Linked DNA regions of Bombyx mori. The protein of the gene in region 1 binds, or shares a complex with, the protein of each later gene. Links are inferred from orthologs where the notes say so. Each region holds a gene or a part of one and is shown on either strand. Other genes may lie near its edges.

Evidence for each region.
Region 2: probable cleavage and polyadenylation specificity factor subunit 2 (region 1) and cleavage and polyadenylation specificity factor 73 share a complex: the UniProt entries of both Homo sapiens proteins name them as parts of the cleavage and polyadenylation specificity factor (CPSF) complex. The link is inferred for Bombyx mori from reciprocal best matches to the Homo sapiens genes CPSF2 and CPSF3.

Annotation. Positions count from the first base shown.
Region 1 is NC_085131.1:11,906,988-11,911,538, reverse strand, and holds the start of probable cleavage and polyadenylation specificity factor subunit 2, read left to right. Parts: upstream 1-1,648; 5' UTR 1,649-1,837; coding exon 1,838-1,986; intron 1,987-2,913; coding exon 2,914-3,179; intron 3,180-4,072; coding exon 4,073-4,318; intron 4,319-4,551. Other genes in the region: sterile alpha motif domain-containing protein 1-like, read right to left, coding at 1-38. UniProt on the Homo sapiens protein: Component of the cleavage and polyadenylation specificity factor (CPSF) complex that play a key role in pre-mRNA 3'-end formation, recognizing the AAUAAA signal sequence and interacting with poly(A) polymerase and other factors to bring about cleavage and poly(A) addition.
Region 2 is NC_085125.1:202,243-206,071, reverse strand, and holds part of cleavage and polyadenylation specificity factor 73, read right to left. Parts: exon of another isoform or gene 2,518-3,829; intron 2,237-2,517; coding exon 2,107-2,236; intron 1,898-2,106; coding exon 1,722-1,897; intron 1,647-1,721; coding exon 1,506-1,646; intron 1,426-1,505; coding exon 1,317-1,425; intron 1-1,316. UniProt on the Homo sapiens protein: Component of the cleavage and polyadenylation specificity factor (CPSF) complex that plays a key role in pre-mRNA 3'-end formation, recognizing the AAUAAA signal sequence and interacting with poly(A) polymerase and other factors to bring about cleavage and poly(A) addition.

The DNA.
Region 1 (4,551 bases):
CTGATTATACCCGAGTCGCTGGCGAGCGCAGAGCGCATCGAGCCGGCGATCGGGGAACACCTCGGTTCGACGGGAATTCCGCTGCCCGTCGCACAGCCCCCTTCATCCTGACAATTGTTGCCCCCCCCAGAGTACGTGGGGCAGCGTGCTTCCACTGAGGTGGAAGCACGGAGGGATTCTCCGCCCGACTCGCGGGCGGTACCCTCCTGGGGTACAAACTTTTTACAATGTGCCATCATATATTGCGTTTTTATTAACCAGGGGTTTGGTCCCCTGGGATCTATGACACCCTCGGGACTGGAAACCCTCCAGCCATACATCCCATCGCCGGGTGTCGAGCTTGGGATTAGGGCATTTTTGAAGAGGTTTGCATCCTCGCGGCTTCGACCAGTAAAGGCAGAAGCCCCCGTTCCCCATGACTGGGGTTTACGGTTTGGCCGACGGTGGCCGAAGCCTGTCCATCGCCCACAACGCGGTGCGGAGCCACGCCGGCGAACCGGTACCTCCCATATCTGGAAGGCCTTCCCCTGTAGCCGAAGCCGGGGACATGGCAACCCGCAGCCGGAAGACACCAAAGTGCCGCTGGCTCACCAGGCTCCCGAGAACCAACCCCTCATCCCCAGAATGGAACTCTTTGTCAGTGCAAAGGGCGTGGGGAGAAGGTCCCTCGCTCCCTCTCAAGGCATCCCCCGCAGAATGCGAAGGCGGCCGAGGAGAGCTGGGCGCAGTTCTCTTAGTCGCGGCGTCCCACACAGATTCCTCTGCACGCGATTTTAGGGACGCACGCTTAAGCCCCACCGCCACGACAAGGCGGAACTACATTCGGTGGGGCGCTTACAGGTCATGGGATAGAGTCTGCAGAGAATAAACGCGGCACGGTCGCGGACTGATTTTATATGTGGGCGAAATGTCATGGATGCATCCAGGGCGACAGGGTGTGATCGGGGGTGTGATATTTCTTCTCCTAATACGGAAGGAAATAAGCGATGAGTTTCTCCTTTGAAATAACATTGCTGTGCTTTTCGCTGGGTTGATATCTATGCGCCATTTTCAGAACCACTGTTCGAGGGTTAATGCTGCACTCTGGAGCTTACTCGCGATTAGAGACTTGTTTCTACTCGAGTAGTAAAGGGTTGTGTCGTCGGCGAAGAAGGCTAAATGGGTCGGCAGCGACCGGGGAATGTCGTTAATAAATAAACTAAATAGGAGTAGAGAGAATACTATTCCTGTATTCCTGTTTGTCATTTCGTAAAATATCCCCTATGATAAATGAATGAGTGAAGTTGTCTGATTTGTTTTATTTTGTCTATTTAGTGTTTCTTCAGGCTTAAATACGTAATAACGGTGGCTTATTAACTGTTTAATAGCTGTGAAAGTGCACAAATGTGGAATAAAAAATACAGCCGCTGGACGTAGCTTCTCGGGATTCTCCAAAAAGCCCACTAAAAAAGTCTCAGTAGTAAATAACCACCATTTTACTGAGATTATATTATTTCATCTCATATCATCTCATCTCATTTCATTTAATTTCATCTCAGTTGATTAATGTCTCAAATTAATCATTTTCATGTAATTTCACCCCATATTATCATTTTTCATAAAAATAATAATATAAATTAAAATAAGACTTGACTTAAAGGTCTTAGTTACCAGGTCATAAAATTCCTTAAAAAAACAATTCTAAAGAGTTTAGCTAAACAAAAACGTCTTTAAAAATATAATTTACTAATAAATGTTATATCATTCGGCATTCTAATTGAACAATCACTACCGTACCTGCATTAAAACAAAATTAGATAATTATAATATGCAGTAAACTACCAAATAATAGTACAAAATGACTTCAATAATTAAATTACATTGCTTATCTGGTGCTGGTGAGGAAACTCCTCCGTGCTATGTGCTCCAAATAGATGAATTCAAATTCCTCCTGGATTGCGGATGGGACGAGAAATTCGATATGGTTTTCATTAAAGAACTTAAAAGGTTAGTTTTTAGGTTATGTTTCGAAGAATAAAAAAAGTATACAATAATAAAAAATAACGTTCAACATACAGCGATCCCAAGCTATATATATTCGCCAATATATACAGAACACGGACAAACACACCTTCACCCCGAATATCAAATACTACAGACGAACTCTCACCAGGATTCCAGTCCGTTGTTTTTATACTAAATAAACACTATCAACGGTGCGATTACCATAACAGCACAGTTCTGCTTTGAAACCACTACCGATAGCCACTAATTCCACACGTTAAATTGGTGTTCTTCAATCATAAACTTAAAAAACACACTTAACTTTATTTCTCGGTCCTGATGCCGCCTTTGCCTTGACACAGGACTAAACATAATATTTATATTAAAAAAATGTTACTCCTGTAATAAAATAAACATGAAAGTAGATTTGAATATGAGACAGGGTGTCCTAAAAAGTATTGGATAGGGCTGATCGAAAAAAAAACATCCAGCATTGGCATAATGTGGGCAAGAAGAAAAAATTATCATCCAATTACAAAAAAAAAAAACATTTGCTAGGAACAAAACTTATACTTTAACAAATTTTACTAGAATATATGAACTAGTACTTACATTAAATACATAATTACTATTTTAATGTTTATACGTAAAACAGATAAATTTTGCAAAATATAGAAGTACAGAAATTTTTAATTTGTTTGTGTGGTAATTTCAGTTATTTTGGTTCACTATCTACTCTAATATTGTTTGCTTTGGTTTACCATGTAGATGTATTGTACTGTTAGGTTTATATAAAATAAAAGAGTCAATATTAATAATAAAATATTCATTTAATTATGTACTCATCATATATCTATTGTGTATCATCACTTTGTGTATAATAATAAACCAAACTTTGGTACTGATATAAACACATTTTATTAATTTCAGACATGTAAATTCAATAGATGCTGTACTAATATCACACTCGGATCCTCTACATTTAGGAGCTCTTCCATATGCAGTTGGAAAACTCGGTCTTAGCTGTCCAATATATGCAACTCTACCGGTATACAAAATGGGGCAGATGTTCATGTACGATTTATACCAAGCCCATAAGAATGTGTCCGAGTTCGATTTGTTCACACTGGATGATGTTGATATGGCTTTTGACAGAATCGTACAGTTGAAATACAATCAGAGCATTGAAATGAAAGGTAATAACAGAATTTATTTACATTTGCAGTTGTTTCTGTTATGCTTCTAATATTTATGCTATATACACACCTAGTTTTTTTGTTTATTGCTTGATCAGACGGTATACCTGTCTAGTGTTAAGTGATTACGGAAACCCAAAGACATCTAAAACTTAAATTGTGCCACCTACCTTGAGACATGAGTTAGTTCTAATGTTTTACAGTACAATGCATGCCCTACCCTTCAATCTGAAACGCATTCCTGTCTCACGGCAGAAATAGGCAGGGTGACAGTAACTACCTGTGTGGACTCACAAGACGTGCTGCCACAAGTTTAGAGAAGAGAGGTCACAATAAATATTCAATAAAATATATGCAATAAAATATTCATTTAACTTGTCTATGCTTAACACCCTACACAAAAGCAGTCAAGAAAGCCAATCAGCAAGAACACCAAATCACAGCCAGACTAGTAGTCTATAGGAGTATTAAAAACTTTCAGATTGTCTTAAGCACTTTAGAATAGTCCTCATCCTCATCAGTGTGCTTGCTATGAGTACAACATGGATTCTTCTTTTTTCTCCAGCTTGTTCCACTAGGTGGGGTCGGCACAGCTAATTTTTCTCTTCCATTCTCTTCTATCAGCCGTCATCTTAAAACTCACTCCTCTCTCTCTCTCTCATATCGTCATTCACACACTACATCCATGTCTTCTTTGGTCGACCTCTTCCCCCTCTACCTTGCACTACCATTTCTATACATCTCCTGGATTTACAACATGTTGAATGGTACAACATGGATTATTGTTTTAAATCTCAATAATATTTTTTTTTTTTCTCTAAAGTGCTAAAGACTCAATACTCACAAAAATCAATTCTTTCATTTAATTTCTTAACTAAATTTGCTTTTCCTAGGAAAAGGTCTAGGTCTCCGCATTACACCACTCCCAGCTGGCCATTCCCTTGGTGGAACAATATGGCGCATATCCGCCCCCGGCGAGGAAGATATTGTTTACGCGCCTGACTTCAACCACAAGAAAGAGAGACATCTGAATGGATGTGACATCGAAAGACTGATGAGACCCTCTCTGATGCTGTTGGGAGCTATGAATGCTGATTACGTGCAACAGAGGAGAAGACTGAGAGATGAAAAATTGATGAGTTAGTGAATATACATATAAATGTTACGTCTTCGGATTTACTAGTAATACTTTACAACACATAAAAATTTATGGTCTAATAGATAAGTTGTCTGGTGCACTTATATGACAACCCTGTTCATCACACGAATATCTGTCCTATGTGGAAATCACACCCACCACCCGGCAGTTAGGAATGTAACTACAGGTAAATTTTTAAAATTTACCATACTGTGGTAATGTTGGGGCCTAAAT
Region 2 (3,829 bases), on another chromosome or scaffold:
TGATTGAAAATCGATGTTGGAAGGAGTCTACTCTGCATGCGTGTGGATTTTCATGCATCCATAAATGCGTGTTATGTCGATTGTACATTCCCACACGTGTGAATGTACTTTCGTCAGTCCAAATAATGTTTCGCTGCCAATTTTGTAATAACCAGCGGCAGAACTCTAAGCGTGGTAAGTAGTCACTTGGCGTCAGCTCCTGGCATCACCTGAGGTGGAATGGATGCTCGCCATCACCACTAAGCGTGCGCCATATGTGCATATGGCTACAGCCAAAGCGTGGTGCTGCTTCCCGGGTGCTACTGTGCGGATTTTCGTCGAAATAATCGAGAATTTCGTTTTGGAGACGAGTGTGTGTACGCATATTGTCTCCCCTGTCGATAGCCGTGTTTGGACGAAAAGTTCCGTGGTCTCGAAGCCGTTGTGTTGCTGATAACATAGTGCGGCGGTCTACACTAGTACCGTATGTCGCGTTAAATATTCTACACGCTAGTGCCACATTATCATCACTTCGTGCCAAAGTTCTCACCATTTCTGTGTATTGAACGTTAGTATACCGAAAAGACATAGCGAAATACGGGAGATATTTTATTTGCACTATCACTTGACCTCTTATCGATAAGGAGGACGCGGCGTGAGTGACTTGTCAAAAATTTTTTTTTTTACTTCGTTGTTTAGATTTTTCTTTGATCACCGCCGACGCAACCGGGCTCGCCGCGAACATCGGGATTAGCCTGCCATCTCACTCTATTGTAAGAATATTAAGCCGACGAAAGAAAGGGATAGTAATTATTTTTGTATTACATGGCTTTCTTTTATGTATCGTAGTGTTGCTGTGTTAGTGTTGCTGTTGCTGTGTGATTGTGTGCGTAGGTATTTTATTTTGTAATAGACTATTAGCCTTGAAATAAGTATCAGATTTCTTTAATTAAATAATTTTTTTTACTAATTAGTTATTTCATTTTAAAAAGTCTTAATACCCTGACTTACGTTCCATTTTCGTTTCTATGAACTGTTTAGCTAGCTGTGTAGGGTGACTGTATTTTCCTTAGTTTTAACGCAATTTTTAAAAAAAAAAATTTGTCATAAAAAACAATCAAAATCGATCCAGATTCCGATTCTGAACAAATTACTTTCAGGGTGTGCGTTAATTATGTTACATGTTGTATATACGTTTATCTACGCAATTGAATCATATATTGTAGCAATAATCATTTATTGTACTGATAAACGTGACGCACGTCCTGACCGAGCGTCACGCGCCATCACGCGGCCTGACACTACGGAGCACACCGGGAGACGGAATGTGAACCTACTGTTGAGGTCTGCGGGCGCCAGAATGTGATAATTGAAGTTTCTTTTGACGAGGATGCCCTGCAGCTCCTGACCTTCCTTGGGAGGGTCTACCGCCAGGGAGCCCATCACCTGCGGGACGAGCAGTGCTATTAGCGCGTGGGGTGAGGGTGCGGGGCGGGGTGGGGTGGGGTGCGGGGCGGGGGCTGCACCTTGGCGGTGGTGTCTCCGCGGAAGCAGAGCGCGAGGGGCTGCGTGTTGCGCGGCGTGTGCACGAGGATGGCGCCGCGGTGCTCCCGCTCCAGCGCCGCGCGCAGCCGGGACATCTCGTTCTGCTCGCCGTGCACCAGCACCTGCACACCGCGCCCGCTGTAGTCGCCGCTACACTGCACTACACTACACTACACTACACTACAGCCGACACTCACCACGTGCGGCGGCTTCAGGATGTTGATGAACTCCGAGGTCTGCTGGTAGTCGGTGTGCGCCGAGAACGAGATGTAGTCCACGGACATCCGCAGCGGCAACTTCTGGCCGGACATGGTCGTAATCTCGTCCGGCTCCGACAGGATCGTCTTCGCCAGCGTCCCCTCCACGCAGTAACCTGCCACCGACCTCACCGTGAGAGTGTCGCCACTACAACGTTGTTGTACGCGGACGGATGCTATACTACTTTTAATAAAGAATTAACACATTTGTATCGGCAATACAACACGATATATGTATGTACTTTACACTTATAGATTAATTGATAAAATACGCTGCGCTGGCGACGTGTCGCTGCGGTCAGGAGGACGCTCCGGCCGGACTCACCCGCTATGATGACTCCGTTCTTAGGGTCGGTGCACCAGGACTCGAACAGCTCCCGAGACAGTCCCGACTGCATCATGCCCGGGGACGCCATGATCACGCACGGCCCTATGTCCTCAAAGTGGTCTATGCCCTGAAGTCAGAGACACAATATACAATAACGAGCTGGATAGAGGGAGCGCGTCGTCGAGAGGCGGCAAATAAAGTTAAATGCGAGAAACACGCGTGTGGTTGACAAGTACGGCCTAGATCGGTGTTTCACAACATGGGACCCACACCCCACAAGGGGGCAATCGCACTAAATTAATATAGAAAATCTGTATTAAAATTATTTTGAATTTCAATTCAGTTTTTTATTATATATTTTGAAATATTACTTATTGTGTTCTGAGAACAATTTCATAGTGATTTCTTCCTAAAATCTATCATTTATGCTTCTTAAGTGAACAAATCAATTTCTTATGTATGTGGGACATAAAAATTTTAGAAATGTTACAGTTGGACACGGCACAAAAAGGTTGGGAAACACTGGTCTATAGAAATAATTATAAAAAGCCAGTATTCTCTTTTATATTAAAATGTTACTGATTTCACACATATGATTAATATGCACATGCAATAATCGGTTGACATATGCCCCAGGACAACAGACCCCGCCCCGCCCCCTCGGCGGCTGGGGGTTCCCGTGCGTGTGCTCTTGTGTGATTAATCGGTTTTATTAAAATACACATCAGATTTTTTTATTGAAATATTTATATTGTTTGTAGTCGTTATGCATGTGGCTATTGTTATAAAAGTGGTTGGTATACTGACAACGTAAGAACCTTATTGGCGTAGACCTGTAAATAAGAAAATTAAAATGAATATGTTTAAATTTACAAGTGAACTTAACAAAAAAATATTATATTATGTTAAAATTACCTATTAGTTTTGTATATTTCATTGTTTATAAATTTCTATACAAGAAATCAATGGCCCAGGGCAAAAATGTATGAGTCCAGCCCAGGGACCAGCACAAATGAGGCACGTCGTAATAATTACGGGTATATAATACAACTTCAACCCAGAATCGATGGTGTCACTCATACATACATTGATTGCAAAACATCATGAAATATGGCACTACTAAAACGTATTGATTAACGTTGCTTTTCTTTCTTCTTAATCAACATAATACAAATAACTCATTACATTGTGCTTGACAAATTACGTGAAACGATTTTTAATTTATATCAATAAACTAGCGGCCCGGCAGACTTCGCAGTGCCTAAATCGATATAAAAGACCTAAACTTTTTTTTAAATAAACTTAAAACAAACAAAAGGAATCCGTCCGACGGGGGACACATGAAATGAAAAACAAAATTGTTATTTTTGTTTAATTCCAAGCATTTTCATATTTATCTACCTTTTAAACCTTCTCTGGACTTCCACGAATAGTTTAAGACCAAAATTAGCCAAATCGGTCCAGCCGTTCTCAAGTTTTAGCGAGACTAACGAACAGCAATTCATTCTTATACATATAGATAGAAGATAGATGGTATGGTTCAGGTGATTTACGTGTGGATTAAATGGCTCGCGCCAAGGGTCCGGCTCGGCGGCGCGGCGCATTGTCTACAGACTCCTGTCGTCTGCTGTACTGCCGATGTCAATAACCATACGGCACGGCGGTGTACTGTACAGAGCACAGACCGTTGACGGATGCGACGCAACAAAACAGTTGAAGC